Linked DNA regions of Callithrix jacchus. The protein of the gene in region 1 interacts with the protein of each later gene in a pairwise test. Links are inferred from orthologs where the notes say so. Each region holds a gene or a part of one and is shown on either strand. Other genes may lie near its edges.

Region 1 (7,377 bases):
TTTTCATTTAAAAATATATTTATTTATTATTGTACTTTAGGTTCTGGGGTACATGTGCAGATCATGCAGGATTGTTGTATAGGTACATACATGGCAAGCTGGTTTGCAGCCTCCATCTGCCCATCACCTATATCTGGTGTTTCTCCCCACATTATCCCTCCCCACCCTCCCCACTTCCCACCCCCTGCTGTCCCTCCTCTAGTACCCCCATGTGTTGCTCCCCTCCCTGTGTCCATGTGTTCTCATTGTTCAACACCCACCTATGAGTGAGAACATGCAGTGTTTGATTTTCTGTTCTTGTGTGAGTTTGCTGAGAATGATGGTTTCCAGATTCATCCATGTCCCTGCAAAGGACACGAACTCATCTTTTTTTATGGCTGCATAGTATTCCATGGTGTACATGTGCCACATGTTCTTTATGCAGTCTATCGTTGATGGGCATTTGGGTTGGTTCCAAGTCTTTGCTATGGTAAACAGTGCCGCAATGAACATACATGTGCATGTGTCTTTATAATAAAACGATTTACAATCCTTTGGGTATATAGCCAGTAATGAGATTGCTTGAAAAGTCCTACAGAACATTCAGAGGTAGATCACATTTAACTTTGCATTTTAACCCATGTCCTTTTATGAAAAGAAGAGAATTATATAAATTGGCTGTCTGGTCGCCTTAAAGCCCACAACTGCTTCATTCCACCACTCGCGCAGGCAATCTCTGGCAAGAGAAGAGCCAGCTCATTTGGTTTTACATCACTGGGAAGGGCTCTTCTCTGGTAATGACATACTCTGCCTTCAAGAGTTGATATTTAACCCCTCTCAGACACTGATAATGACACTTTAAATGGTCAACACAGACAAAGCACTTCGCAACAGTTTGGGTAGCAATGAGCTCAGGGTAGGGTAGCTGGTTCCGGGAACTGACTTTCATAGCTGTCCTTCTGTAAGTCTTGTGCTAAATAAACGCAGGTCTGTCTCCTTTCCAAATCACACTGTGTCAGTGACCCTGTGTGTGAGAGACAGGGGCATCCAAGGCTTACATTGCAGGATCTCCCTTTAAAAGGCAGCTCGGAGCCACTCGAAGGAACACAGATGAAACACTCAGGTGATGTGACACAGCAAGAGTTGATCTGCAGCCAGAGCAATCTAGGTCCAAGTCCTGGCTCAAACACTTCCTAATTGTGTATCTTCAGTCAAGTGATTTAACCTCTGTGAGCTTCATCTTTTAGAAGCAGTTATGATGTCTGCCCTATAAGAGCTGTAGTGTGGCTCTCTGTTCTCAGAGGGAAGAGACTGCCTTTAACACCAGGCAAGAGAAACCACTGTTGTATAAAACTCCATTTGAAAACCATAAGTTACTTTCAAATGTTTATTTTAACAATCAAAGAAAAGGAAAGCAAAAGCAGGCTCCAGGTGATGTATGTGCTGCTGTTGGTAGTAAGGCAGGAAATCTACCAGGTACCGTCAGGAGACTGGGGCTGGCCTGAAGCAGGAGACTCTTTCCTAAGAAGCAGTATCTCCAAGGGGCGACATCAACACAACAGGTCCCGTGTTCATTTGCTTCTCTTCTCAGAAAACGTCACCTGTGTAGAGGGAACCTTCTAGCTCAGATCATGAAGAATAAGAAAAAAAAAAAGCAAGCCAGTTTCCTGAAAGATTTCTGTTCTTGCCTCATAACATAGCCTAACCTAGTCAATCAGCTTCAGAGAAAATGGCTTGGTAGCATGAGAGAGTCTTCCAGAAGGACACACCTTTACCACCAGGCCCACATTTAGCATTTAGCACCACAAGCTGGAGCCCCCCACATGCAACCAGACAGTTCCTTCTCTAGGAAAAGGAGGCTGGCTTGAACCATGCCTTTACCCTCACGTCGATGGTCCACATCTCATCCATTTCTCTTTGTTGCATTTTCTCCAATGAAGCTACAAGTCGTGATGAGGAGGGAGACCAAACTCAGAGCTTTTTCCAGTGAAAAATAGCTGGTAATCGCATTCAGAAATTAGGAGCACAAATGGGCCTAGTCTGCATTCACCCAAGTCTCCAAATTTAAGTTCTGCAGAGATCATAATGGCCCTTGAAATGACCGAGTGCCTCACAAGACTTAGAAGATTCTGCCCCTTCAAGCAAAGTTTTCTCATTCTTTGGCCTAATGCAAATACTCAAATATAGTTTGCTCTGGGAAGTAAGTTATTACGTGCACCATTTGTTTCTGATTGAATTTAGATGTTAGAGGAAATTTATTTACCTGCCTATAAGAAGAAGCCTGAGGTCATGGGTGGCCCTTAAATCTGGCCATGTGGGTCAGCCCCTGCACTCCTTAAACATTATACAATCAATATTGGCTCTGGGTGAGGATTTTTGGTGTGCTCTCTCCTTTTCAGGGTATTTTTATTTCTGTTATCTTAGAATTCATCACAGACCTGGGATATAAGTATGAACAATAACATTATCTCTGTTTCGTAGCAGAAAAAAATGCTGAGGCTTAGGCGTGTGAAGCGATGATTCGAAAACCCCGTAAGTGAGAGATAAAGTCAGGACTAGAAACATTCGTTCTTACAACAGATATTTATTAAGCATCCATTATGTACCAAGCAGTGGGCGAGGCTCTGGAGATGCAGTGTGAACAATTGCTAATCTTGAGTAAGCATTTTGATTGGGAAAACAGTAGATACAGAGGCAAGTTCAGCTGTTGGAGGTGCTAAATGAGCAGGACAGTGTCGGGTGTTGTGAGTCCTTTACACTGAGAGTCAAGCAGGAGCTCTCAGAAGAAGGAAACTTGCAACTGACCTGAACATTTATAGTGAGGGGGAAGAGCACCCCAGAGAGAAGATGAGCAGGGACAGGTCTCCAGCCATGTCCAAGGAACAGAAAGGCCAGCGTGGCTGAATCATGGTAAGAAAGATAGAGAGTAGGAAGAGAAGAGGTGGAAGCACATCAAACCTAGCAGTTCTCCACCTGTTAAATCAACAGGTTTCAGTACTTCAGGAGGAAATACTAGGAAAAAAAATGAAGTTGTTGTTTGTATTTTAAACTAGGAGAATTAGATAGGGACAGGGGTTATAGCCAGACAAGTCTTGAGAGTCGGAATTTATAGAGAAAAAAAAGAGACATTTCTTATGAAAGTTCCTTTCACATAGCAAGAAGCTATGTAAGCCATATGTAAGAGGCTGTTTTGCCACAGAAAAGGAAAGTCTAGTCCTTTGTCAAAGCTAGAAACCCTGACGTAGAGAGAACTCAGGATTTGATACCAGGAAATGTTCTACTTAATCAGCGTCCAAGGTAGGGAGGCAGAAGGATAGAAGGGAATTAGAAAAGAAAGGGTCAGGTACAATTCCGGTTCTATTTCCCGCTCCCTGATGCCATAATCCAGGTTGGCAATGTTAAAAACAACCCAAGAAACATGGCGAATCTCAGACAGGGAAGCCTGTTCTTCACTTCCTTTGTCACAAACTATAAAGATTTTTCAAGTTAAAGTTGGTGTCCTTGAAGTGCAAGTGCAATTTTAAATGATGCTGTACTCCCACTCCAGACACTTTTTCAACCTTACATCTCTCCAATCCAGATATTCGGAGCCACCATGGGTGGTTGGAATCCATCCACTGAGGGCATAGAACTCATCTGGGAAAACCAGAGCTGGAAAGGAGGGATTTCACATCAAGATTCCACTGTCCCTGGTGTCTCATAGCCTTTGGACAGGCCTATACATACAGAAAGTTAGAAGCCAGATTTTCTAAAGGTATAACAAGCATCTCTCTCTGGGTATCCCTTGCCTGAGCCAGCCCCCACGGGTCCACAGGCATTCAGAATCGGCTTCCGGTGCTGGCTCCACAGGTGGTGCTGGGGCCACAGCTTGGACAAGGAGCACATGCGGCAGCCACACAGGAGGGAGGCGTGGAGCACGGATTACAGGGGAGTCTGCAGAGAGAAAACGTGAGTGAAGTGAGAAGCAAGGAATGAATGGGGTCTCAGTGCCACGTGGGGGCATGAGGAAGGGGTCCCCACTGCAAAACCAGAGGACATGGACCCTGCTGAAGCCTGTGACCATTAGCACCGAGTGAGCACCTCCAGGGTTAGACTACATAGGTGATTTCTAAAAGGTCTTACATGATTAAAGGGATCCTATAGAATAAAAATTCCTAGGAAGAATTTAAGAAGAGAAAAGCACGTCCAGAAATTGGATCTACTGCCGGATCAGTAGTCATGTCTCCTGTTTGAGCAGCGACCCCGTGTCTACTCTCATCAGATCATGGCTACCTCAAGCAGCCCCCACGGAGACCTGGTCATGTCCTCTAAGCGGATGGTCATTCCCTTCACTCTGTCGACCATATAGAGGGTGCAGGACCAGGCAATGACTCACGGAAAAGGAGTGCACAGAGAGCCTCGTTCAATGGAGAGACAGCCCCTCTGCTGCCCTGAGGACCTCATGAGAACTGGGTCAATGATTTGGCCAGGAATTGCCCAGATCACACGTACTTGCAGTCCTCACTCTCCAGAAGGTTCCGGTACGTGGCAATCTCATTCTCCAGCCGGGCCTTCACGTCCAGCAGCACCTGATACTCCTGGTTCTGCCGCTCCAGGTCAGCTCGGATCTCAGACAGCTGCTCCTCCACGTTGCTAATGAGGCTCTGCATCTGGGCCAGCTCCGTGCCGTAGCGGTCCTCGGCTTCACACAGGGAGTTCTGCAGACAGTCCTTCTGTAGTGGGAAATAAGGGGATAAAATACCCAAGACCCCCAGAGAAACTGCTACATGCCCCAGATTTTGATGGTGGTAACAGTAGCTAAACATGCTGCATTGCCAAAATTCACCTAGCCCAGGGCAAATTCCAGGAACTCATACCCCAGAGCCCTTGATAAATCAAGTTGACAGTGAACAAGTCTTTTCCCAAACCAGCACTGCCCCCAAAATTTAATTGGCTTCACGTTATTCATCTCTATATTTGCAATACCCCCAAAAAAATTAGAACTCAGTAAATTTTGGTGCATTTAATGCCTTTTCTTAAATATGTTTTAAAAGAGAGATTGTTTTGTTAAGCTGTGTTTCTGAATTTGACCTGATCTTTACAATAAAGACAAAAAAGAAATTCACAATCAACGAGTTTGCAGATGGGAGAAACCTAGATAGTGAGACCTACAAAATTAAATGCTATCAGGCCGTGGCACGTGGCGTTTGCAGTGCAGTGAGGGTGAAGGACACGTACCAAGGTGTGCTGGGCTTGGCGCTCCACCTCCAGGGCGTTCACCGTGCATCTCAGCTCCAGGATCTCCGACTGGCAGCACTGAATCTCCTCAGAGCAGGACATGGCCTGCAGGCTGATGCCTTCAGACTGGAGCACAGAGAGGCACAGTCACCTCCCTGCCCAGATGGAGGCCAGATGTCCCCCGGCTCTGTACCCCCTGCTCACCTGGGCTTGGAACCACTGCTCCGCGTCCTGGCGGTTGGTCTCCACCATGGCCTCGTACTGAGCCCGCATCTCCCCCAGCACCCTGCTCAGGTCAATGGTGGGCTCAATGTCCAGCTCGATCCGGATCTTGTCCCCTAGCTGACTCCTCAGAGTCTTTACTTCCTGCAGAAGGGAGGAAGGCACAGACAGTTTGTGTGAGGAGAGGGCCTTTGATGGAGCAGACAGCACCAGGACCCCACCCCTGGCAAGCAGTAGGAGGGGAGCCCCATACACAAGCAAATGGGAAAGTCTTGCCCAGAGTGCAGTCGGGAGAGCCCACCTGGATGCCTTCCTTGTGCCCAAGGCAAGTCTGCACCTTCCACAGAGGCCCTCTGAACCCTCAGACCCACCTCAGCCCTGCATGCTGATGCCAGCTGAGCCCAGGTTCTGCTCTGAGAGCCCCAGGGCCAGGGAGCTCCCCTATCTGCCCAGCACTGCCCGCCCCCCACACCAGGAGTCTGAGCGGCCAGGGCTGTACCTGCTCATGGTTGCTCTTGAGAGAGAGCTGCTCTTCCTTCAGGGACTCCTGCTGGGCCTCCAGGTCGGCCTTGGCCAGGGTCGCATCATCCAGGAGCTTCTGCGTACCACACATGTCCGCCTCCACCAGCTGACGCAGGGAGCGCTCACTCTCCAGCCTTCAGTCACAGGAGGTGCAGGGTCAACAAGAATTCCACCAAGAGCCCCTCTCGGCTGCCCCGGGTTCCCACCTCCCACACCACCTTGGATCCTCATTTGTTCACTCTGTTTAGCTCTCTGGCCTCAAAGGTGAATTAGACACAGCCCCTCTTCTCAAAGAGCTGGTGGTCTGATGAAACAATCACAGCACTACATTGCACAATATACATTTTTGCCATTGTATTCTGTGGCAGCTGCGGTTCACTAAGATCAACTGAGTTGCCTAAGATCGTGTGTCTTGGGACCCAGTCCAATGCTCATTCCATTGCAGTGGCCGTCAGTTACCAAAGATAAGCAATAGCCAGGTGCCCGGTTGTGATCCACAGCTCCTTATCCCTTGCTTTCAACTGTCTTCCCCTCTGGTTTTTTCCTAAGTATCTCATACCTAGTACCCTAGGACTGCATAGTTAAATCTGGACGAAGACTCATCTATGACTCCTCTGACTTATATATGAAAATGAATGGCTGTCTTGCTCAGTTTATCCTTGAAATCACCTCATTTTGCTCCTGGCTAATGAATTTAGGCTGCCTCCATGTTAGGGAAATAAATGAAGGAGGAAAAACATACATGGTTGGATTAATGAAGGGTTTTCCCTTCCATCTTCTATCCATTTTGATTGTAATGAAACTTTTACTGGGGAGAATCTAGCAAGGGAGAAAGGACAATGATTCACTCACTCAACAAGTATTTGGGCATTGGGATGGAGGATGGGGAAGGAGTCATCCTGGCCTCCTGCACCGGACTTACTTGATCCTAAAGTCATCGGCAGCCAGCTTGGCATTGTCGATTTGTACAATCAGCCTGGCGTTCTCAGCCTTGCTGCACAGGATCTGAGGAAAACAGGAAGATGGTTCACACACAAAGCATCGTACCTTAGGCTCCCACTCCACGTGTGGTGTCTATGCTCATATCCAAGAGAAGCCAAGAACCCAAAGCTCCCTGAGCCTGACATGGATTCCTCCTGCCATGAGAAGCCGTCTGGCTTCTCAGACCCAGCACGCCCAGGCGTTCCCACACCTCACCTTCTGCTGGAGCTCCTCGATGGTGCGGAAGTAGGACTGGTAGTCGGGGCACACGGTGGACTCGTGGCACTTGCTCCTCTCACGGAGTTGGCTCTCTAGCTCCGCGTTGTCCCGCTCCAGCTGTCGCACCTTCTCCAGGTAGTTGGCCAGGCGGTCATTCAGGAACTGCATGGTCTCCTTCTCATGGCCATTCAGGGTGTTTTCACCATAGGCCCCACAGATTCCGATGTTGCCGGGAAT
Region 2 (8,229 bases), on another chromosome or scaffold:
CTCTGCCGCCTGGTTCAGCAACTATGAGAAGAGTGTGTGGAAAGATGGTCAGATTTGCCTTTTAGATACCATTTGGCTGTAACTTGCCTATAAAACTTCATAACCTGCTCAGTCACCTCCTTAAGTAATTTTTTGGAACTTTGAAAACAATTTTAGAAAGCTTAAAAAAAAAAACAAAAAAAACAGGCCCAGCATAGCAGCTCATGCCTGTAATCCCAGCAATTTGAGAGGCCAATCTGGGAGGATTGCTGGAGGCCAGGAATTTGAGACCAGCTGGACTACATAGGGAGACCCTGTCACTAAAAAAAAAAAAACTACAAAAATTAGTCAGGGGTGGTAGCCCATGCCTGCAGTCCCAGGAACTCAAGAGGCTGAGGCAGGAGGATTACTTGAGCCCAGGAATCTCAGGTTGCAATGAGCTTTGATGGCACTGCTGCACTCTAGCCTGGGCAACAGAGAGAGACTCCATTTCTAAAAGAAAGAAAAAGCCAAGAAAACAATTGGTCTAAAAGAGTTGGATTCTCAACTATAAACTAGCAGTTCTAATGAAAAAGTAAAAAAGAAAAATATGAATCACACAAAATTCAACTTCCCACCACATTCTAGAACCTTCTCTAGCAATCCTGGCCAACAGTCATTCAGCCTCTGCTTGACCTCTCCAGAACATCCCCACTTGGGGCACTTTTGTCAGCAACCTTTTTTTTGGCAGGGGTGGGGGGGCGGGGGGACTGAGTTTCGCTTTTATCGCCCAGGCTAGAATGCAGTGGTGTGATCTCAGCTCACTGCAGCCTCCACCTCCTCAAGCGATTCACCTGCCTCAGCCTCCTCAGTAGCTGGAATTACAGGCACCTGCCACCATGCCTGGCTAATTTTTGAATTTTTAATAGAGACAGGGTTTTGCCATGTTGACTAGGCTGGTCGTGAACTTCTGACCTCAGGTGATCCACTGCCTCAGCCTCACAAAGTGCTGGGATTACAGGCGTGAGCCACCGTGCCTGGCCAACAACTGTTTCTTTGTAGTAAACCCAGAATTGTTCTCCTAGACCACCACTGTTGTCTACCATAGCACATGTGATATAATAAATATGTATGTCCTTGGTCTTTGTCCCTAATTCCTGACACAGAGCTTCTAACATGCATCAGAATCTCCTACAGAACATACTGAAATGCAGACACCTCTCAGATAATAGGATTTAGGAAGTGCAGGGTGTGACTGAAATCTGTGCTTAGAGAAAATGCCCAGGATGGTGTGGATATTGGTGGTCTGTAGATTACATTTTGAGAAACATGGGTTAGAAATTTGACCTATTGGTCTAAATCCTGGCCCCTGAGAGCTGATGGCTTAGATTGAAAAGGTGATTTGGGCATCAAATGACACACTCATATTAAGCTTGTAATTTTAACTTAAGATGAATGTCCACTTATTTATCAATTTTGAGGTAGGGCTGTGGTCTTTGTTTTGGGTATGTATTTTCTGATTGGAGTCCAGAGGTTTTTTTTGTTTTGTTTTGTTTTATCTTTTTTAAAAAATATCACAGGTTGTTGAGTTTGTGTATGTGCGTGTGTGTCTGTGTGTGTGTTTAGCAATAATGCTAGAACCTAAATATACTTGTGAAACAGCTTGACTGGATAATTCTCTAGAGTTTTCCACTTTCCGCCCAGTCTTTGACAGATACTCATATCTAGTTTGACAGTTGTTTTTTGCCATTTGCTTGCATTTAGTCTTTCAAAGCACTAAGCATAATTTGCACAAGCAGTTTTTTGTTTTCATACATATATTTCATCAGTTTATGTAACATCCTGTTGATTTACACAAAAGCAAGTGCAATTGGAAAGAAAAGGTTTGTGCAAAGAGCTGATTCTTGGTAAGCTCCACCTTGCTAAATGGGAGCAAGTATTTGTAGTCCTTCTAGAGAGTGGCTTGGTAGACCTGTGAGTCAACATGTTGTGGGCATCTGTCACTGTGTTTTACAGAGACCATAGTGAACATCAGAAATCAATTCGGCTAGTCAGTCTGGTGTCAACCAATTAAGAAGTTTCTTGGCCGGGCATGGTGGCTCACCCCTATAATCCCAGCACTTTGGGAGGCTGAGGCAGGCAGATCACCTGAGGTCAGGAAATCAAGACCAGCCTGGCCAATATGGCGAAACCCCATCTCTACTAAAAATATAAAAAATTAGCCAGGTGTGGTGGCGGGCACCTGTAATCTTAGCTACTGGGGAGGGTGAGGCAGGAAAATCACTTGAACCCAGGAGGTAGAGGTTGCAGTGAGCTGACATTGTGCCATTGCACTCCAGCCTGGGCAACAAGATTGAAATTTCGCCTCAAAAAGAAAAAAAAAGAAGTTTCTCTTGTATTTGGAGATAGGCTGATTTAAATTTTCAACTTTTAGTTTATCCCTGTTGTAAAAACTGTCCATGAGGTCTATGTATTACTTACTTAATCAGAACCAAAAGAACAATAAAATCATTATTTTTAAAAACTTGAAAGCATCTCTTTCCTCATCTAAGTCTGTCTTCTTCCCATGACCCAACCTCTCCATTTGTAAAATGGGTTGTATTTGTTCCTCTATGCCTCCCAGCATGCAAGGAAGGTTGATTCTCATAGAAGTGCAACTAACTGTTCCTGTGAGGGGACTGAGGCAGCTGCAGAACAGAAGCTTTACGATGTCCCCTCTGGCCATCTGAGAGGAGTGGTGGCACTGTGCCTGCTTATTGTGAGCTGGCTATGCAGCCTTGTGACTAGTGACCCCTGATCTCAAGGGAGGCTGGTGGCTGCCTGTTCTGCCTGGGTGACCTGATATCTCATCACTTCCAAAAAGAAGTGCCAAGCTGCCACCCGGGTAGGTGGTGAGCTTCAAAGAACTGAGGGGAGCTCTCTCTCTTTGACTCAAATCTGTTTTGCTGAACCAGGGCAGGGTGCTAGTTTCTTGCTAAGGCTGGGTCGTCTCAAACCTGCTCTCCAATGTCTGTCATGTGCATCTTTATCTAGTTCTTTCTCTGTCACATCTCATATGTTATATAACCAAGTACTGATATCCTATGGGAAGCATATTTTACCCAAAGGGTAATTACACCAGTGGTGGAATTTCTATTCTCTTGGATTGTGAATAATAATTGAATGTTTTATTTTTTGCTTTGAGAGCTAGGTTGTAGATGGATTTAATAAATTAATCTGTTTCTTAAGAGAACATGACTTCTGATTTGAAATTATCCAATGTCCACCAGGTTATGTTGCCCAAAATTTGTCTTTTTGCTGCCATATTTGAAAAGCTATTTAAAATTACGATTCTAACCAATTGAATTGATTCTAGTCTGATTTTAGGTAAATGAAAAGCTCAAGATCAAAATGTGAAATGGCCAAGTGTGAATAATTGGTCCACGGACTATGATTTACCTCTCTCTCACCCCAGCAACAGATACACGCTTCAACTCATATTTCTGAAACACACATCTGAGTGTGATGCACCGTCAGAGAGAATGTGGGCTTTGGGAACAGAGGCACATAAGATCGAAACACATCTTGCTTAGTCAGCAGTGTGTGACCTTAACAAGTTGCATTTCTTCTTGAAGCGTCAATTATCTCATCCGTAGAACGGCCCTACAGCTTTTTCGGGGTTGCTTGAGATTAACGAAATATCAATAAACACCACCTCTCAGTTTCCTCAGCCCTAAACTCAGGAGTCATCCTTGACTTTCTCCTTTTCTCTTTGTCACCAGCCTCAGGTCTGCAGCGCTGCCTGTTGATTTTACATTGGAAACAACTTTCATCCATCCCCACCCCTCTTCTCTGCTGCCATGTCCCTAAACCAAGTCATTGCCATATTTCATGTGGATTGCTATAGTAGCCTCCTGTCTTCTTGCTCTCTTGTCCCTCCGCAGTCTGTTTTCCACCCAGGGGCCAAATTGGTCTTAGCAGATGCAGAGCAGATTGTGTTATCACTTCCTTTGCAGAAGTACCCAGTAGTTTCCCATTATATTTAGAATGAAATCCAAATGACATTTTCAGCCCTACAAAGCTACACCATTTGGCTCCTGCTTACCTCTCCAACTTCATTTTGAACCTTTTCCCCATGCTCTTGCTTCCCTGACCTTTTCCTGTTTCTGGAGCACACCAAACTGGTTTCAGCATCAGGGCCTTTGTTGCTCCAAGTGGCTGCTCCTCATTGGGCAAGGCTTAGTTCAAGCATTCTTCCCTCCAGGAGGCCTTCTTGGTCACTCAGTCTAAAGTACCTCCCCTTCTTTAGCCTCTTCTCAGCTTCTCCTTATTTCCTTAGTAGCAGTAATTATTGTCTGAAATGACCCTTCCTTGTTTGTTTGTTTATTGCCTGTCTCTTTCCAGTTAGACTCTAATCTCCACAGTGGAGATGGCCCTTCTCTGTCTTGTTCACTGCTATATCCCGTGTTGCTTAGCAGATATCAGGCACTTGAAAAACATGTGTTGAATGGATGAATGACTATTTTATGTAAAAAGTAGTGTAGATACAGTGCCTTAGACTTGGGTGGCTAATTTAGTTTTCCATAGAAGCTGGGGCTCTTTCTCCATCAGTCTAGTGTTCTTTGATCACCATAAAAACAACTTGCTCATGCCTGTAATCCCAGCACTTTGGGAGGCCAAGGTGGGCAGATCGTGAAGTCAAAAGATCAAGACCATCCTGACCAACATGGTGAAAATCCGTCTCTACTAAAAATACAAAAATTAGCTGGGTGTGGCAGTGCATGCCTATACTCTCAACCACTTGGGAGGCTGAGGCAGGAGAGTTGCTTGAACCTGGGAGGCGGAGATTGCAGTGAGCTGAGGTCACACCACTGCACTCCAGCCTGGGCGACAGAGCGAAAGTCCATCTCAAAACAAACAAACAAACAACAACAAAAAGCAACTTGCTCAGACAGTCTCTGACACCGAGGTAGACCAGATATGCACAGAGACTAAAGTGATAAGTACATATTCCTTTTCTCGTTTGTGTTGCTCCTCTGCTTCCTTCATCATTTCCTGTGCCTGCTCGAGCTTTGCATCCACCAGCTTCTGCTGTAGTTCTCTGTGCTTAAATATTTTGTCCAGATGCTAAGAAAAATAGAGCATACATAGAAAGTTTGGTTTATTATTGGTGCTTAAAAACACAAAATAAATTCACATTAATACATATTCTCCAGGTTTTAAGATTTAAAAGAAGAGAGGGATAAATGCACTGGCATCACTTACGGCTTTATACTAAAGCTGTAGATTGGTGAACCACCCCTCCCCCCAACTTTGCACCACACACACAAAGGTAGCTACAAAAGGTAGAGGCACCAGAGTTCAGCAGTATCAATGCCAAAAGGTCGATACAATATTTTTATAAATGTGGTAACTATTAGATATGATGCTATTTATTATGCTAGACAGCACAGACAATGATGTTTCAGTATACAATATACAGGGGCTGCAGTTGTATCATTCGGTATTTTGGGTCTGTCTGTGAATATAAAACCACTTTTAATCACAACATTAGTGCAATTTATCATGATGCATTCTCCACGTTCTCGCCTCCGGAGTTGTGAGAAAGCCTTGGAGTGCCTGCATGTGGTCTGAGGTCTGGGAGTGAGACCTGAGCCCTCTGAATTCTACTCTGTTGCTCTGGTGGGGATGACAAGCCAAGGGTCACAGACAAATCGATTTGCCAGTGTCCAGCGCTCGCCACAACTTTTGACCTCTAGATTTGTTTGGTGAAGAGAAACCTCCAACTCTTCTTCAGTATGAACAACTTCCTGGTTGCTGGGAGGTCCCGTCAGAACAGGACATGGAATTCTACCCTTGAACCAGTCCCAGGAATATACAACCAGTATACCAGTCCATTCCCATCTGAGATCTCTCTGAAGTGTATGGACAGTTTCCTTTCACTCCTTCCTTTCTTCTTCAGTCTGAACCTCCATTCTGGAGCTGGATTGATCCTCGTGACAAGATAAAATGGTAGCATGGCATTCTGGCTTCCTGAGAGGAGTTTCTTGATTTACCTAACCACTGCGACCATATGCTATTGGCTCAGTTTTGTGCTTGATAAAGTCTTAGCATGTTGCCAACAGAGCCGCTTTGACTGTGTTATGTTACATTTTAAAGCAGAGATTTAAAATTTGGGTGGGATAGGGAAGGGCATATGATATATCAAAATCCCAAGAGGTTATCTGGAATCTTAAAAACACAGTAAATATTAAAATATAATTTTGGGATAACAAAAGACCTTGATTGTCACCCTAATATAACCTATTCAAAGTAAAAGGCTTTTGGCTCTTGTGACTGTGGGTAAGTGGTTTAATCTCTTAGCTTCTGCTTCCCATCTATGAGATATGGATACTATATTATTATCTAGTACATAAGATTGTTGAGGCAATTAATGCCATATGGTATGTCAAGTACAGCACTTAGCACTTTGCCTGATAACCAACTAAGCACTGAATAAATGACATCATTATTATTACAATGATTACATTATTATACGATTATTGGTCTGGTGGGGTTCGTTGAATACAGACTTAATTTAGATGACATGGCAATTCTTAAGAGTGCATGAGTTATTTTTGGCTACACAAGAGGGTTTTTAAAAGGCTGAGAAATATTATTTTCAAGGAAAACTTTGCCCACAGCCTATCACTTTCTATTTATTGCCTTTACTTTGCAGTGATGCCAGTTTTGAAGAAATCCCATGTGACTTTCAGTCAGGTATTTTGTAAGACCATCTGTCTTCATTCTGGCTAGTCAAGGAAATCCAGTCCTAAGTATTGATCGGTTGAGAGGGCTGTCTTATTAACCAAGCTCCCACCTTCACCACCCAGATCCCGATCTGTGTACTGTTCTAAGTTGTTTGATGTGGTTCTCACCTCCTCTCTGAGCTCATACTGATCGATGATGCTTTTCAGCTTTTCTGCAAGCTCTGTGTTCTCCTGACAGAGCTTCATATTTCGCTCACTCTGCTGCTCAATCTGGCCCTGGATGTCCGTGAGGGTACTCTGGAAATGACTTGTGATTTCCTTCCTTTTCTCTTCTTCCTCACGTGCCCGCTGAAGGGCCTCTTCCTGTGGATAAAAAGCAAAACATTTTGTTTAAATGCACCCTGGGTTTATAGAACTCAGGATTAGGTCACCAAAAGGAGATTAGTGTGCAGAGTAGGTGGGACTTTTTTTTCCTCAGTTCTCTAGAACGAAAGCTGCTCAGCCCCAAAATAAATGTATGAGTAAAGGTTTCAGCTGTGAGTACATAGTTACTCAGAGCAGGTGCTGTGAAGGCCTTGAATTTGTAGTCGGTGATGAATAGACTTGTTTTAAAGATGACAGGGCTCTTGCTGAGTGAATGAACGGCAGTGATTTCTAACAAACACACAGTCACACGATTTTGATCTCTTGGTTGTGGCCTGAGAAAACAGCCCCTTGAGTTTACTGATTGATGAGACAGATCATGTGTTTCTTTGGGTTGGTAAAGGAAGAATCATAGATCTTATATTTCCCTATAAAAACATGGCATATTAACCACATAATTGTATTACCCAGGTTTTGTAAATATAAGTGATCACAATAAAAATTTTCTCTTCATGAGAAAAAAACTTTCATCAAAAACCTTTTAAAAAGGAAACTAAGATAGCATAGCTCACTTACAGCCATTCAAGAAGATAAAAGGGAATATTTCCAAATATGCTAGATATTATTTTGTTTTTGAAAGAACAATCATTAAATGTGTCACGAAGGGTAATTAAAATGTTCAATGTAAATTTTGAATCTGAAAGCAATATTAAGTTTCAAATCTTCTTTAACTCTAAAGTGAAACATCTAATTTTCCTTCTTCTGCCTTGTTAACATTGAAGAATTGCAAATTAACTTTTATATCATTTCTGTTCTCTTTTCTCCTAGATCAAAACTCTCCATTCATTGCTAACCACTGACAATGAGCTCCAATTTCCTTCATATCTATATTGGGAATTGCTTTGTGATTGTTATTCTCGTTCTTTTTGAATAAAAGGGTTTAATCTTGCTACATCCTACCAAAGATAGAGACACTTATGTGGCTGACAAATGATACAGACATTTTAGGATTCCTTTCGGTTCTGATGAATTGTTAATATGAAAGTTTGCTTTGTTGTTGGCAAGTAAAATTATACTGCATTTGATTGCCTACCAAGTTCAAATTATGTAACAGGATTTTTAAAAAGAAATAATAATTTTTAACAGAAGTAATTGTACAGACCTTTATCATAACAGAATA
Region 3 (8,229 bases), on another chromosome or scaffold:
GAAGTAGAACTGGTAAGATCACATCATATATTATGTTTATGAGTCCTTCCTTTCTATGGTACTTAATATAGATTTACTTGCAGAAGTGAATCTATGTCTGTTTTGGGTGTGTCTTTTAGAACCTATCTTGTGATTTAAAAAAAATCAATGTATAATCCTTTTTGAGCTCAATAAGAAGTATTAATTTATATGACAAATTATTCCTTCTATTTAGGTTACCTTACTATTCAATATTAAGAGGAATGCTTTGATGATTCAGCATTAGAAACATACTGAATGGATTAAATTTACTTACTACCACAATTACCAAAATTGGTTATTAAAGGCAATGATACATTTTAACCCATTGTTTACAGAAATCTGACTGAATGGTTATTTGATCAATAAACAGGAATTGTTTTATTAGTACAGGCAACATTTGCTGGTTTTAAGAGTCTCCTACTCTAACCCACAGCCAATATCATACTTAATGGGCAAAAACTGGAAGCATTCCCTTTGAAATCTGGCACTAGACAAGGATGCCCCCTCTCACCACTCCTATTCAATATAGTATTGGAAGTTCTAGCCAGAGCAATCAGGCAAGAAAAAGAAATAAAGTGTATTCAGTTAGGAAAGGAGGAAGTCAAATTGTCTCTATTTACAGATGACATGATTGTATATTTAGAAGACCCCATCGTCTCAGCCCAAAATCTCCTGAAACTGATAAGGAACTTCAGCAAAGTCTCAGGATACAAAATCAATGTGCAGAAATCACAAGCATTCCTATACACCAATAACAGACTTAAAGACAGCCAAATCAAGAACTGCCATTCACAATTGCTACAAAAAAAATAAAATACCTAGGAATACAACTAACAAAGGAGGTAAAGGACCTCTTCAAGGAAACTACAAACCACTGCTCAAGGAAGTAAGAGAGGACACAAACAGATGGAGAAACATTCCATGCTCATGGTTAGCAAGAATCAATATCATGAAAATGGTCATACTGCCCAAAGTAATTTATAGATTCAACGCTATCCCAATCATGCTACCAATGACCTTCTTCACAGAACTGGAAAAAACTGCCTTAAACTTCATATGGAACCAAAAGAGAGCCCGCATAGCCAAGTCAATTCTAAGCAAAGATAAAAAAGCTGGAGGCATTATGCTACCTGACTTCAAACAAGGCCACAGCAATCAAAACAACATGGTACTGGTACCAAAACAGAGATATAGACCAATGGAACAGAACAGAGGCATCGGAGGCAACACAACATATCTACAACTATACAATCTTTGAGAAACCTGACAAAAACAAGCAATGGGGAAATAGGATTCCCTGTTTAATAAATGGTGTTGGGAAAACTGGCTAGCCATGTGCAGAAAGCAGAAACTGGACCCCTTCCTGACACCTTACACTAAAATTAACTCCAGATGGATTAAAGACTTAAACATAAGACCTGGCACCATAAAAACCCTAGAAGAAAATCTGGGCAAAACCATCCAGGACATAGGAGTAGGCAAGGACTTCATGAACAAAACACCAAAAGCATTGGCAACAAAAGCCAAAATAGACAAATGGGACCTAATCAAACTCCACAGCTTCTGCACATCAAAAGAAACAGTCACTAGAGTGAATCAGCAACCAACAGAATGGGAAAAAATTTTTGCAATCTACCCATCTGACAAAGGGCTGATATCCAGAATTTACAAAGAACTCAAACAGATTTACAGGAAAAAAACAAACAAGCCCATTCAAAAATGGGCAAAGGATATGAACAGACACTTTACAAAAGAAGACATGTATGAGGCCAACAATCTTATGAAAAAATGCTCATCATCACTGGTCATTAGAGAAATGCAAAGCAAAACTACATTGAGATACTATCTCATGCCAGGTAGAATGGCAATCATTAAAAAATCTGGAGACAACAGATGCTGGAAAGGATGTGGAGAAATAGGAACACTTTTACACTGTTGGCAGGAGTGTAAATTAGTTCAACCATTGTGGAAGACAGTGTGGCAATTCCTCAAGGACCTAGAAATAGAAATTCCATTTGACCCAGCAATCTCATTACTGGGTATATCTCCAAAGGATTCTAAATTGTTCTATTATAAGGACACATGCACATGAATGTTCATTGCAGCACTGTTTACAATAGCAAAGACCTGGAACCAACCCCCAAAGGCCCATCGATGATAGACTGGACAGGGAAAATGTGGCACATATACACCACAGATGGAAACTACTGTTCCAATTTCTGAGGTCATGACCCTCTATAAGGTTCTGGAGCATGACAGTCCAGAAGAGAATGGAGAAGGTTTCTATACACCTAGCTGCTTCGTCTCAGAGGTTGATCCCCTTTTCACCTGAGGAAGGCTCTAGCACAAGGCTGCAGTGCTCTCCAGGATCCTCTGCCCTTTCAGTGGTGCTTGGTCACTTAGCACAGGGAGTGCCTTCTGAGAGAGAAGTGAGCCAGGGGCAACCAGATACCTCACTTGGAAACACAGAGGCAGGTAACAGTTGTCTTGAGCATCTTCTGACTGGAGTACAGCTCTGACCCTGCATAGAATTAGCCAGGCAGCCTGACACTGGGTTCTGGATTGCCCTTGGCTAGTTGGAAGTGCGGGCTGCTGATCATCTATATCTATGTAATCTGATCTAGTCCTTCACTGTTATAGTCTGCCATGACACACATCATCCTGGATCCGACTCTTTCAACTGGTGAAGATAATGATCCACTTAGCCCCATCCTGCAGTGAACCCTCTATCTCTTCTAGAACTGGATGGCCTAGTCACTTCCCCAGGTCAGGCTGACTGATGACTCACCCAAACAAGACCTTTCTCTTATCTTGGGTTAGCAAAATGAGACTTAAAAACATTACAGGACTATAGATTTCATAACGGGCTTGATGCATTTGAAAATTACCTTTTCTCTGTTATTTTTATTTTCTTCTTCTCTTTTGGCAGCAAAAACAACTTCCTCAAATATTTTTACTTCAAAAGTTAGCACTAAGCTTTGAAAATGAGAGGGTAGTTTACAGCACTCACCTCTAATAGAAGCCTTTGATGTAATGCTTGAGTTTGAGTGAGTGCATCCCAGGACACTTTCAAGAGCAGTTCCATCTTTTTTAAATTTCGAAAATCTCGTTCTTTCTCTCTTTGCTTACGAGAAAGTTCATCATGGTAGTTCTGCTTGTCGATGAGGCTGTTGCGTAAATTGAGATCCAAGATCCCTCTGTTCCAGGTAAAGGAAGAAAATGAAAGTGAATTTGTCATCAGCTGTCCAACATGTTTTTCAAAACTTATCAAGACAGCATGCTGAATATTGGCTCCTAATCTCTTCTGACAAAGACCTAAAAACAGAACTACCATTTGACCCAGCAATCCTATTACTGGGTATATAGTCAAAGGAATATAAACCATTCTATCATAAAGATACAGGCACATGTTTGCTCATCACAGTGCTATTCGCAATAGCAAAGATGTAGAATCAACCTAAATGTCCAGATAAAGAAAATGTGGTACCTACACCATGGACTATTATGCAGCCATAAAAAAGAATGAGATCATATCCTTTGCAGGAACATGAATGAAGCTGGAGGTCATTATCCTTAGCAAACCAATGCAGGGACAGAAAACCAAATACCACATGTTCTCACTTATAAGTGGGAGCAAAATGATGAGGATACATGGACACATAGAGGTCAACAACACACAGTGGGACCTACTGGAGGGTGGAGGGTGGGAGGAGGGAGAGGACCAGGAAAAATAACTAATAGATACTAGGCTTAGAACCTGCATGACAAAATAATCTGTACAACAACCCCTCATCACACAAGTTTACCTATGTAGCAAACCTGTATGTGTGACCCTGAACTTAAAAGTTTAATGAAAGACAGCATGCTCAGTATATGCATACATAACTATTCTTATGTTGGAATCATAAATCATAAATAATGCCCAAGGCAACTAGGCTTGTGAGTTGGCATCACTTAGAACTGCAGTATTATAACCACCCCTTTTGAAAATAATAACAGATTGGCAGACATAGAAGCCTCCAGTTTCCCTGAAATTTTACTTAAAAGCAAGACATAAAACTCTCATAGGGAATTACACCATGACATTGCTTCTATTAGAAAAAATTCAAGATGGCCTCAGAAATATCATTCGTTTGTTGGTAAAATCCCGGAACTAAACATAACATACTCCAGTGGCATGATTTTCCAAAGACACATTCCGAAATTTACAACAAACAACAGATTTTGTCTTGAAAATTTAGTAACAGAAAATTGAGAAAATTTATGAGTATGGAAAAATACTTCAAAGTGCTTTATTTGATAATATATTTATTAATGATAAAAGCTGATTTAAAATTATTTAAGAATATTTATTGACTGAATACCAAAGTGAGATTATGTTTTGAATTCTCAAATATAAATTGAAGAAAAATTTAGTTGACAGAACATACATAAATATAACTAACCTTTCAGTTAACAAAGTTGCTTCATTTTCTCTGGCTAATTCCAATAGCTTGACCAATTGGTTATGTTCTCGTTCTTTGATTTCAAGTAAGGCTCGTTTGCCTTCAACTTCCTTTATTACATCTTCCTTCTCCCCCACTACAGCACTAATCTTGTTTTCAACTTTCTTTAGGGAGTCATTTAGCTTTTTGACTTCATGTTCCAAGACAATTTTTTTCTTTTCCATTTCTCTGTAAGGGATACACACACACACACACACACACACACACACACACACACGTTTGCCTTATATTGAGGCCATTCTGGCTTTACCTATTCTTGTTCTCTAACCAGGCAGCAGAAGAGATCGTCATAAATTCAATGATCTCAGCAGTGGGTAAAGACCACAGATGAGTGGGACTTGGAAGCTATCTCCACTGAGTGCCACAGAAGGCAGGCATTTGTCCAGGCTCCCTCTCTGCAGATCCCAATTTGCTACCACCTCCTATGATTCAACCCTCATCCTGACCCACCTCCTGGAACTGACCTGAGTTTCTCAACTTTGGTGTTGGTGAGCCTGGTTTTTCACACAGTTACTAGTGCCTGCCTAATTTTTCCCTTTTCTCTTAAGATTAGTCACCAGAGTAATCATATTATTTTTTCCAGAATTTTTTTTATCTTCAGTTAAAATCTTTATCTATTTTGGTTCCTCTAAACACTGAGAATTTCCTCAATGACCTCTGCCTCCAAGTCTACTCTGAATATCTGAGAGGTGTTATATACATGAAAGGGTGGCAAAGTGGGGAGTTACCATTATTTAGGCTTGGAGCTGCTGTCTGGCTGATACACTTCTAGACCATGAAATTCTAACCAGTTCACATAACTTATCCCATGCACAGCTCTGTTAAAGTCAAATGAACTTCTCCCTAAAAATGTGATTTATAAATTGGCAACAGAATCTTGACTCATAATTAAACCATAAATATTACAAATTATAGTAATTTGCTGCATTACTTTCTTTTAAAAAACTTGATATAAACAATGTAGATAGGGCCAAAAGCAGATATTTCTAAAATTAGAATAGTAATCTAACATGTCTAGTGGTTAATACTCTTATTTTAATGTGCACATATAACTTGGGCTATGAGGGACTCAAAGTAAAAACGTTAAATCATACACTTTTTTGCGTGTTGTTTTTTCTATCTCTTTTCCAATTTGTACCGGACTGGTTTGATGGTGGGCCAATTCATCCTAGTAAATAAATGAAATCATGTTAAATTATGCAATCTTGGACTAGAAGCAATTAAGAACACTAAATATGAAAGTGAAAGGAACTACAATATGTAGATACTTACCATCTGCCCTGTGTACCTTAATTATCCCATTTATTACTCACAATGACCTCATAAGATAGCTGTATTTGTTATCATTTTGGAAAGGAGGCAACTAAGTGTAACAAATACCATTCCTCTGCCCAGATTCCTATATAAAGGCACAGACGCTCCTCTACATACAATGGAGTTATGTCCTGATAAACCCATTTAAATTGAAACTCTCTTAAGTCAAAAGTGTATTTAATACACTTAACCCACTGAAATCATAGCTTAGCCTAGCCTACATTCTCAGGACACTTATATTAGTCTATACTTCACCTAACACAAAGCTTATTATATAACAAGGTGTTGAGTGCCACACAGTAAATAATCATAACTTATTGAATACAGTACAAGAAATGTAATTTATTCAATACTGAAAGTGAAAAATGGAATGGTTGTATGGGTACTTGACATATTCTTTCTACTAAATGGATATTGCTTTCACACCATTGTAAAGTAGAAAAATCATAAGTGGATCACCATAAGCCAGGGACCGTCTTCCCACCCATCCCTCAGATACTGCAGGGGTGACTGCTAATGGTTCATGCTCAATCTCCTCTCCATTGGATTGTGATTGGCTGAGCAGAGCTTCCTTGTCAAGGAATAGGAGATGGAATAGGAGCCAGGGGGTGGAAGGAGGAGGGGAACAGGTTGCGACCAATTACCAACTGATGTGATTTAACAGACACCCCCTACCACCACCTCTGGGTGCAACAGCTTCTGTGATGCAATTCATGACTGTGTGAGTTCATGGGATTAGGCTGAGACTAGAGTTCTCCCGAAGCAGCTGTATTCTGGCCTAGCTTCTTCCCAGTTCCATCCTGCTTCCCTCTATCTCTTATAGGATTCTCCTTGGAGCTCTCCTTCCATTAGTAGTGCTCTTAGGCTCTGTTTCTGGGGAGCCCTGCCTAAGACACATGCTACAAGAAGTTAAGTAAGTTTCCCGAAGTCACATAGCTAGTAAGTGGCAAGGCCAAGATCAGAAGCTAAGTTTGTCTAACATCACATCCCCCATTATGCTCTGCAGACTCATAGGAGGTTCAGTTCCAGTCTCAAGAGTCTTACATACATGGCAAGGGTCATAGAACAGCCCCTTCCTGCCTGACGATGTCATTGGACTTTGGAGCCAGGGGTTATTTTATTTTATTTTATTTTCCAAATGCTCTGTGTTTATTTCATTCCCTCTGTGTGCTCTGAGGTAGGACAGATATTTTGCAGATACTGAGGCCCTATGATTTGAAGGTCACCAGCCTTCAAATCCAGTAACCAAGGTATATTGAACACAGAAGAATCACTAGCACTGAGGGCTTTGTGAGAATCAGAAATCATTCTCTATCTATGAGAAGGAACTCCCAGGCATGACTTGCTCTGAGACAACAGCTTCTAAAGTTCCTCCATCAGATGGGTGTGAGTGGGGCAGGTTTCTGTATCTTCAGTTTTTCCACCAGTCATCTTCATCAAAAAAATACCAACTACCGTCAATTACCATCTGGGGCTTGAGCAGTTGCACTTCCTCCAGCAGCCTCCTGATTTGCACAGGGTACTGCCATTTCCATAGCCCAATTATTTGTAGATTAGACGTGGGACATGCAAAGGCTGAACACAGCTTCCTCATTCTGGTAGGACTGAAGTTATTCTGTACCAGGTTTAGGCTGGCCAGGTGCCAGTTGCAGGAAAGGGCCAAGGAGAGTTCCTCACAGCAACCAGAAGTCAATCCACATGCCTTCAACCCCAATCTCCTTAGAACACTTCTCCTTTGCTTTAGCCCCTCACACAGTGCAGTGACCCCGACGTCACCCACGGCATTGTCCGCGAGATCCAGGCTCCTCAGGTATCTGCTACTCATGATCACATAGGACAGACTCACAGTATGCGGCAGTGAGATGGCAGCTGACCAGCTCCAGGTCCTGGAGATGACAAGATGGTTCTCTCATGACCTTGTACAGAAGCTTCACATTGCTGTCTTCCAAGGGGTTCATGCTGAGGCTCACGTGAATCAGCCATGCATTGCCCAGAAACATAAGTGCGAGAAAGCCACAGCCAGCTGTGTCCAGGTTGCAGTGATTCAGCATCAGCCTCTGCAGACCACAGTGGGGAAGCCTCAAGGATCGACACAGCAGACTCACACCTTCATTCCCCAGGTTGTTGTTGGAAAGGCACAGGTGTGTCAAGCTGTGGTTGGTGACGAGGGCTGAGGCCAGACTCTGGCAGCCCATGGCTGTGATGCCGCAGTCCTGCAGTGTCAGCTTCTGCAGGGCGCACTGGGAGACCTTCAAGACCTCACTGAGAGCCTTCACTCCCTTGTCTGTCACCTCATTTCCTGCCAGGCTCAGGGAGCTCAGGCCAGGGGAGGTGGTAAGGATCTGCGAGATCTTCAGGTAACAGGTGTGGGTCAGTCCACAGCGATCCA
Region 4 (8,228 bases), on another chromosome or scaffold:
TATACATTGTATACATTTTACCAGTCCGACAAAACAGAGTTTATCAAACCCACTTCACAGAAAAAATGTCTGAAGCCCACAGTCTGTTAATGTGCCTAATTTTTTCATGGCTGGTAAGTGACAGGACTGGGGCAAGACCCCTAGTCTGAATGAGTGTAAAGCACACTCTGCTTCATGCCTCACAACCTGAGACTGACTGTGTCCCCTTACTCACTTTTCTTCTCACTGCTCCCAAATGTACATCAAGTTATAAGATTCTGTGCCCAATTTGCTGGACTGGAATACAGAACCAAAGCAACAAAATCACCAAAATGACTGAGACGTGTGAATAAAGGAGAGAAAGACAATATTTGATGACAATATGATTGCATAATCAAATACATATAAACTCAAAGGATCATGGGCTCACATTCTGTCATTCTGGTCAGTCCCCCCATTTTTTAAGGAAGTTAAATACTTTCCAAGAGAAATACATAAGAGACTGGTAAAGAGAAGAAATAGATCAATGTGTTTCTCTGACAGTATGACTTCTATCCTGGGGCTTCTGTTTGTGTTACAGCTTCCCCATCTTACATCACTCCTGGGACAGGGATGCATTGTCTGCAAGATTTGTTGTAGGGAAACTGGTCAAGACTTTTAAGGGATGTGGTATTTCCCAGGAAGTCATTAATTAAGGGACAAGAACCAAGAAAAAGACCCTCATATAGGAGGACAGAGCAGAGCAACATGCCAGACACAGTTCTTAGCCTGAGCATCTCCTCACTTATTCTTCAAAGTTCATAGGGACTTGTGAGTTCTTGGACCTCAGGTCAGTAGAGGGAGGAGTCCCATTCTCTGACACGTACCAAGTTGAGGACCCTGAATAAAGAATGAGGGAAGCATTCACCCCAATAGTCTTGACAGGATGTAGCTGAACCTAATTTCTACTCCGGAGGTCTTAAGAAGTTAAAGACCATTATCTCAGGCTAGCTGACTCAGGTCCATAGAGATAGGATTCCTAAGGTGTGCCAGGAGTAAAGTGAGTACCCTGAAGGGTGCAGGAACCACCAAACCCCTATCAGTGTAGACCCCACAGAATCCTCCCTATTGTCATCTCTGAGAGATTCAGGCATGAATGTCAGACAGAGGCACCCTCATATCATCAGTAGTAACAGAGAAGTGAAGGTCTTGTTCTGAGGTGGGCAGTCCCAGCTCAGCAGGGGGAGGAATATTAAGCCTTCCTGTGAGTCAGATTTAGGATCCTGAGTTAGGACCTGAGTAGGACGATCCACCATAAGACCTCAACCTGGCTACCACAGCCGCCACTCTTGGGAGACCATAGTCAGTTATGGCCAGATAAGGCCACCCTCTCCTCCTCCTATCAGATCTCAGGGAGGTACAGGCCTTTTAAACAGAGAGGTCTTGAGGTCAAAAAGGAGGGGAGCCTCAGGATCTTCCAGGAGCCAAATAAAGGAAAACAAGTGAGAGCTGAGGGGGCTGCTCACCTCTAAATAGAGAGGACAACAGACTCTAGCCCCCTGCATAAATCTTAAATTGCCAGGGCAACATGTGAGGCTGAGGCTTCACCATCACTTTTTTTTAAATACTTGACCTTCTTTTTTCAGAATAGTTTAATGTTCACAGCAAAACTGAGCAGAAAGCACAGAGAGTTCCACAGGCATCCTGTCCTCCCAGGCACAGCCTCCCTCATATCAACCTCCCAACCCAGGGTAATACACTTGTTACAATTGAGCATACAGGGACACATCATTATCACCTTATCAATTTAAGACAGAATTGCTTTACTGCCTTAAAAGTTCTCTGTGCCTCATGTATTTATCTCTCACTCTTCCCAACCCTTGGAAACCACTCAACTTTGTACTGTTTCTACACTTTTGCCTTTTCCAGAATGTCTATAGATGGAATTATGCATTGTGTTGCCTTTTCACATTGGCTTCTTTCACTTTGTAATATGTAGTTAGGTTTCCTCCATGTCTCTTTGTGGCTTGATAGTTCTTTCCCTTTTAATACTGAATAATATTTTATACTCTTAATTTACCCACTCTCCTTCTGAAGGACATCTTGGCTGCTTTCCAGTTTAGGCAATTATAAATAAAGCTACTATAAATGTTTGTGTGCAGGTTATTTTGTGAACATTCTTTTCAACTCATTTGGCTAAATAACAAGAAGTGCAGTTACTAGATCATATGATAAGACTACACATAGTTTTGTAAGAAATTTATAAACTGTCTTCCAAAGTGGCTGTACCATTTCGCATGTCCACCAGCAATGACAGTGTGCTCCTATTGCTCCACATCCTCGTCGGTAGTTGGGGTTATCAGAGTTTTTGATTTTGACCATTCTTATAGGTATGGAGTGGTTTCACATTACTTTAATTTGCAAGTCCCTAATGACATGTGATGTTGTGCATCACTTCATGTACGTATTTACTTTCTGTATATATTATTGTTGAGATGCTCATTTATATCTTTTGCCCATTTTTAATAGGGTTGGTCCATTCTTATTGTTCAGTTTTAAGAATTTTTTGTATGTTTTGGTTAACAATCTTTTATCAGATATGTCTTTTGAAAATAAATTTTTCCCAATCTGGGAGTTGTCTTATTCTTTGTGGTATCTTTACCAGAGCAGAAGTTATAATTTAGTGAAGCCCAGATTATCAATTTTTTTTTCATAGATGCCCATCACATTTTATGTCAGAACTAGAAAAGGTGAAATTCTTGGTCTGAAGTCGCAGTTATTAGTCATCAGAAGAGACAGTCCACAACCCTGCATGGAGTCCAGATGAGGAAACTGAGTGCAAACTTGGGACCTGAGGATCCCAGGACAGAGAGCACTAAATGCTTCGAAGCAGGGGTGGTGGGTTGAGGTGCCCCTACATTTCCCTCATCTGGGTCCCATAGAAAGTTAAAGATTCTACTTCACAACACCAATAGAAGGAGGCTGAGGCCCTGCCAAGAGCTGACAGGATAATTCTAAAAGTAATCAGAGTGGATCCTTTCCAAGCCAGAACACAGAGAGAACCCAGTCAGCCCCCAGCAGGGTTGGCAAGCTGCAGCCTAAGGCACATTGTAACTTCCTCAGCTGAGTTCTCAGGGGACAGAATGACGAAGAACAATAGCCCAGTCAATACTTAGAGCAGTGTTCTCAAGGAATCCTGCAGAGACGGTTTCTGAAAAGCCAAGGTAGTATCTGCCTACTAAAGGTGTTCTCAGGATCTCAATCTCTCTTCTCCAGGCACCATATCACCTGCCCTTCTGGCTACTCTCCTACCTGTTGTGCCTAATCACAGCTATCATGCCTCGAGGTCAGAAGAGTAAGCTCCGTGCCCGTGAGAAACGCCAGCGGACCCGTGGTCAGACCCAGGATACCAAGGTTGCTCAGGCCACTGCAGCAGAGAAAGAAGAGTCTCATTCCTCTTCCTCATCTGTTTTGGGGGATATTCCCTCCAGCTCCCCTGCTGCTGGCATTCTGCAGAGGCCTCAGAGAGCACTACCCACCACTGGTGCTGCAGCTATGTCATGCACTGGATCTGATGAAAGTGACAAGAGCCAAGGTGAGGAAAAGGCAAGTTCCTTCCAGGCCTCAACATCCACTGAGAGCTCAATCAAAGATCCTATAACCAGGAAGACGAAGATGTTGGTGCAGTTCCTGCTGTACAAGTATAAAATGAAAGAGCCCACTACAAAGGCAGAAATGCTGAAGATCATCAGCAAAAAGTACAAGGAGCACTTCCCTGAGATCTTCAGCAGAGCCTCTCAGCGCATGGAGCTGGTCTTTGGCCTTTCCTTGAAGGAAGTCAACCCGACCAGTCACTCCTACACCATTGTCAGCTTGCTGAATCCCACCAACGATGGAAACGAGAGCAGTTCCTGGAAATATCCAAGGAATGGGCTTCTGATGCCTCTACTGAGTGTGATCTTCTTAAGTGGCAACTGTGCCAGTGAAGAGGAAATCTGGGAATTCCTGAATGTTTTGGGGATCTATGATGGTAAGAGGCATATCATCTTTGGGGATGCCCGAAAGCTTATCTCCCAAGATCTGGTGCAGGAAGAATATCTGGAGTACAAGCAGGTGCCCAACAGTGATCCCCCACGCTATCAATTCCTGTGGGGTCCAAGAGCCTATGCTGAAACCAGCAAGATGAAAGTCCTAGAGTTTTTGGCCAAGGTGAATGATACCATCCCCAGTAACTTCCCACTCCTTTATGAAGAGGCTTTGAGAGATGAAGAAGAGAAAGCCAAAGCCCGGCCCAGAGTTGCAGCCAGGCGTGGCACTACTGCCATGACTAGTGCACATTCAAGGGACACATCCAGCAGCTCTTCCCACCCCATGTGAGATCTAAGGCAAATTGTTCAATTTGTAGTTGAAAGACCTGCTGCCTTCTGCTGTTCCTGTGCTGCATGAATAACTCGGTGATATATCTCTTTGTTGAATTTTCCTGTGATGTTTCTTAAAATAGAAAGGTTATTTAAATTCAGAATATAAGCTTAGAAATGGCATGCATCACACACTTATTTCTGTTTATCAGGTTGGTTTAGTAATAAGAGTTTGGTTTTTGAAATACAAATAGAAAATCTGAAAATCGTTTTTGTGATACAGAGCAAAATAACATGGCGTTGGAGTAAGGTTATTTTTAGAAATTTAAAATAACGCCACAGTAAAATAGAAGAATCTGAAGACAGAAAGAGAAGAAAAGCAAAAGTTGCTTTATTTTTGATTTATCTTACTACTTTTAGTCTTTTGTTGTTCATAAATTTGAAAGTTACATACCTGGTTTGCTTAGATTATTTAAGAATGTGGAGGCTTCGGCCAAGGTCAATGACAGTGTCCCCATTGTCTTCCCTCTATTAAGAGAAGACTTTGAGAGATGAGGGAGACAGTGTTGCAACTGCTCCTGGCATGTTCCAGTGTGATGTCCAACAGTGTCATCCACTCCTTGTGAAGTCTGAGGTATATTCTTTACTTTTAATTAAAGAAAATATTAACCTTCTAATTAATAGAGGGCCAAAGAGGAGTTGGTGGGAACATCATATATAATATATTTGTATGTAAAATGATTTATCTTTTCATTTTCCTGTTTTTCAGTGTTCTTTCTTTTAATTGTAGAATTATTTAGTTTCAGAATCTAAGTTTATGAATGGCATGAAAAACTCATTTATTAAAATATGTCAGGTTGAAGAACAAGAACTTTTGCATTATGTAAAACAATTTAAAATCTTTAAATCTTTTTCTGTGATCTAGAACAAGACAATATGACATTAGAATACAGAATTTGTGAAAAGGAAATTACCTAGCAATAAAGTTGGTGGGATCATGAAATAGAGAAAAAAAAGTAAAATGTGGTCAATTCTTGCTTTGTTTTATTCCTTTTAGTCTTTCTTTGTAAAACTGAAGTATATGTATCTGGATTGGGTTAGCTTTCTCAGGAATGTGGGAGAAATTAAATAGCAATACATTTGACTTCCGGCTCACTTGCACTTTAATTGTCCTAATATTAATTGAGCAGCTACTCTTCAGAGGGCTCCTAGCTAGCACTGGATAAGCAAAAAAATAAAAATTAAAAAAAAATAAAACCCTGTCCATAGAATTTTAGAATTCAACAGCAGCTATCACATAATGAAGGTAATGAGATAGTCCCTAAGACCTAAAGACAGTTGAAAAGAGGATATAAGAAGGTGGGGGTGTTTCTAGGGGAAGAATCTAGTGTAAATGTCCTAAGCAAGGTAATTGAGACTCTGGGAAACTGAACATACTGCAGTAGGAGGTAATTTTATGTTGCTGCATAGTGACTAGATGGGGCGCACCGAGCAGGGGGGTCACACACTCAGATGATGGATCTCAGAGTTGAGAGTTAGAGACTGGAATGAAAAATTGCCCTTAAAAGTTACTTTGGAATTGTGGAAAAAAACAGAGGAAATCTTTGCCTGGGGTAGGGATTGAAAATGGCCTGTGCTCTTGTCCCAGCGCAAGTGAATCCAGTACACAGATTAGGTGTTTTATGCACATAGTCCCCGGGGTGTTTCTGAGAAATAAAGGTGTTACTCCTTTAAGACTGGAAACTCATATGCCACTGGGCTAATACTCTGCCATCAGCTGGGGAGCCAGAATCCATTCCATTAAAAGGGCATTCATTTTTCTTTTCTTTCATGTGTTTTGGAAGTTTTAAGGGACATCTAGATTTTTGGTGATGGTAAAATAAATGAATATAAGGGTGGTTTGTATGAAAGGCTAGAGTTGGTCTTTGAAGCAAACCCTAGAAGGTTTCAGTTGCTTTCAGCTGAGAAAGACAACTCCACACTCAAACTATGATTCAGTATGGAAAAGATACTTAGAGTTTCTTTGTAAGCTGCATTTTGGGCTGATTTGTAGTTTCATGTCTTAGAATGTTGTATATTCTTTGTTATCACTTGGGCTTAAAAAAAATCAGCAGATTTCTTCTGAATCAACTACAGATGATTTCTTCTGTAGTTGAAATAATCATAGTAATAAGCATTGTTTAAAGTCTCAATGCACTCCAGGGCTTTGCACATGTTAACCACATTCCACCAGTCCTACATCACAAGGCTTATCAAGCCCATTTCACAGATGCAGAGCCTAAGGCTCATAGAGTTTGGTAATGTGCCCAAGTTCATACAGCTAGTAAGTGATAGGGCTGAAACTAGACTGCTGATCTGAATTCCTCTAGAGTCCACACTGTTCCACTCCTCCCAAACTGAAGCTTACCACAAGTTGCTTAATTCATTTTCTTCTGCTAACCCAAAGTGTATCTCAGGTAACAAAGAAGAGGTCTATGCCCCAAACACTGATTGGAATACAAAACCAGAGCAAGGATAATACCAAAATAATTGACACATGTAAGTTAAAGACAGAAAGAAATAATACTCGGTGACAATATGATCATCAACAGAAGCAAAATCAGATAGCTTCAAAAGATCGAAAGATTGCAAAATCATCTGGCTTCACCCTTTTCTATAGAAAGTAAGTCTTTTAGAAATACCCTTTGGTTGGTGAAGTGAAAGAACAGATCAGCATGTTTTTTCCCCTGAGAGCACAGTATCTGTCCTAGGCTCTCCACCTTCCATTTCAGTTTCCCAATGTCACATTACTTCTGGGACAGGGACCTCTTCTCTGCAAGCTCTGCAAAGAGGAAATTGATCAAATTTTTGCAGAGATGTGACATTTCCCTGGAAGACATTGATCAAGAGACAGGAGCCAACATGAGAACCCTCATGAATGAATAGTAGGGTGAAAACCATTTCAAAATGTAAGGTTTCATCTAGACCCTTCAGGAGGGTGACCTCAGTTCAGTAAACAGAGGAGTCCCAGGTTCTGATACATGTAAAGGCGAGGAGCAAAACTGTGGAGCTCTATTGAGGCCTGTCCTTACTATCTGTTCTTGCAGGTTGCAAAAGAACTATGATCATATGAGGATCATCCAGAATTCCAACTCCAAATTCTCAGGAAAACAGGACCTTTATGTGAGAGGAGCAGGTTCAGGTAAATAAAGGGTGGAGTTATAGGTTTGCTCACTTGTCAAGGTGAGAGGCTGAATGTGGACTAAGGGTTAAGAAGAGGCCTCACAAAAAGCCCCAGGCGGGGATGGCAGGTTGATTTCTGCCCGGAAAGTCTCAGGGAGGTGACTGGTTCCGTCTACTTGGGGCAGCGTCAGTTTCACAGAGGGAAGAGGTTGAGACTCTAACAAGAATCACTGTAGGACTCTTACGTGTTATGCGGGGACTCCACCAGCAGACAAGACCACACAGAGTTCATCCCGTTTTGAAGCACCAGACAGAGCTATCTGCCTAAGGTGCCTCTCATTTCCGCCTGGAAGGTCTCAGGGAGGAGAGCATCTGGCCCTGAAGGGGGAGTCGCTCTAATTCTGCCTGGAGAGGAAACCGGAGCCGGAGCAGGAGCGGGAGTCCTAGTGAGGAAGACCTCTCCCCAAAAGAGGGACGTTCACAGAGTCCTGCCACTGCTGTCAGGCCTGTGAGGCCCAGGCAGGGGTGGCCTGTATCGCATGCTCAGATTTCCACCGTGGGTTTGAGGGAGGTTGGGGTATTGTATGGAGGCTGGCAGATTTGGGTCAGCAGGCGGAGTCATCCCAGGCTGCTAGATACTAAGGTAAGGACTTCTAGGGGGTACGTAGAGATTAGCAACACAAGAACAGTGACCTCCCATAGCATCATGCTCCTGCCTTCACCCTTCAAAGGCCCCAGGCTGCCGAATGT

Evidence for each region.
Region 2: the proteins of keratin, type I cuticular Ha8 (region 1) and TXLNB interact in binary tests that used the Homo sapiens proteins (3 or more experiments, as listed by UniProt). The link is inferred for Callithrix jacchus from reciprocal best matches to the Homo sapiens genes KRT38 and TXLNB.
Region 3: the proteins of keratin, type I cuticular Ha8 (region 1) and CCDC146 interact in binary tests that used the Homo sapiens proteins (3 or more experiments, as listed by UniProt). The link is inferred for Callithrix jacchus from reciprocal best matches to the Homo sapiens genes KRT38 and CCDC146.
Region 4: the proteins of keratin, type I cuticular Ha8 (region 1) and MAGEB4 interact in binary tests that used the Homo sapiens proteins (3 or more experiments, as listed by UniProt). The link is inferred for Callithrix jacchus from reciprocal best matches to the Homo sapiens genes KRT38 and MAGEB4.

The regions. Positions count from the first base shown.
Region 1 is NC_133506.1:91,821,705-91,829,081, reverse strand, and holds the end of keratin, type I cuticular Ha8, read right to left. Parts: coding exon 7,138-7,377; intron 6,946-7,137; coding exon 6,863-6,945; intron 6,075-6,862; coding exon 5,918-6,074; intron 5,563-5,917; coding exon 5,401-5,562; intron 5,323-5,400; coding exon 5,197-5,322; intron 4,692-5,196; coding exon 4,471-4,691; intron 3,913-4,470; coding exon 3,798-3,912; 3' UTR 2,544-3,797; downstream 1-2,543.
Region 2 is NC_133505.1:146,035,962-146,044,190, forward strand, and holds part of TXLNB (beta-taxilin), read right to left. Parts: intron 7,050-8,229; coding exon 6,855-7,049; intron 5,065-6,854; coding exon 4,945-5,064; intron 22-4,944; coding exon 1-21. UniProt on the Homo sapiens protein: Promotes motor nerve regeneration. May be involved in intracellular vesicle traffic.
Region 3 is NC_133512.1:72,896,690-72,904,918, forward strand, and holds part of CCDC146 (coiled-coil domain-containing protein 146), read right to left. Parts: exon of another isoform or gene 6,956-8,229; intron 5,695-6,955; coding exon 5,621-5,694; intron 4,695-5,620; coding exon 4,467-4,694; intron 3,219-4,466; coding exon 3,032-3,218; intron 1-3,031. UniProt on the Homo sapiens protein: Essential for sperm flagellum biogenesis and male fertility.
Region 4 is NC_133524.1:31,132,859-31,141,086, forward strand, and holds MAGEB4 (melanoma-associated antigen B4), read left to right. Parts: upstream 1-3,158; 5' UTR 3,159-3,294; coding exon 3,295-4,335; 3' UTR 4,336-4,888; downstream 4,889-8,228.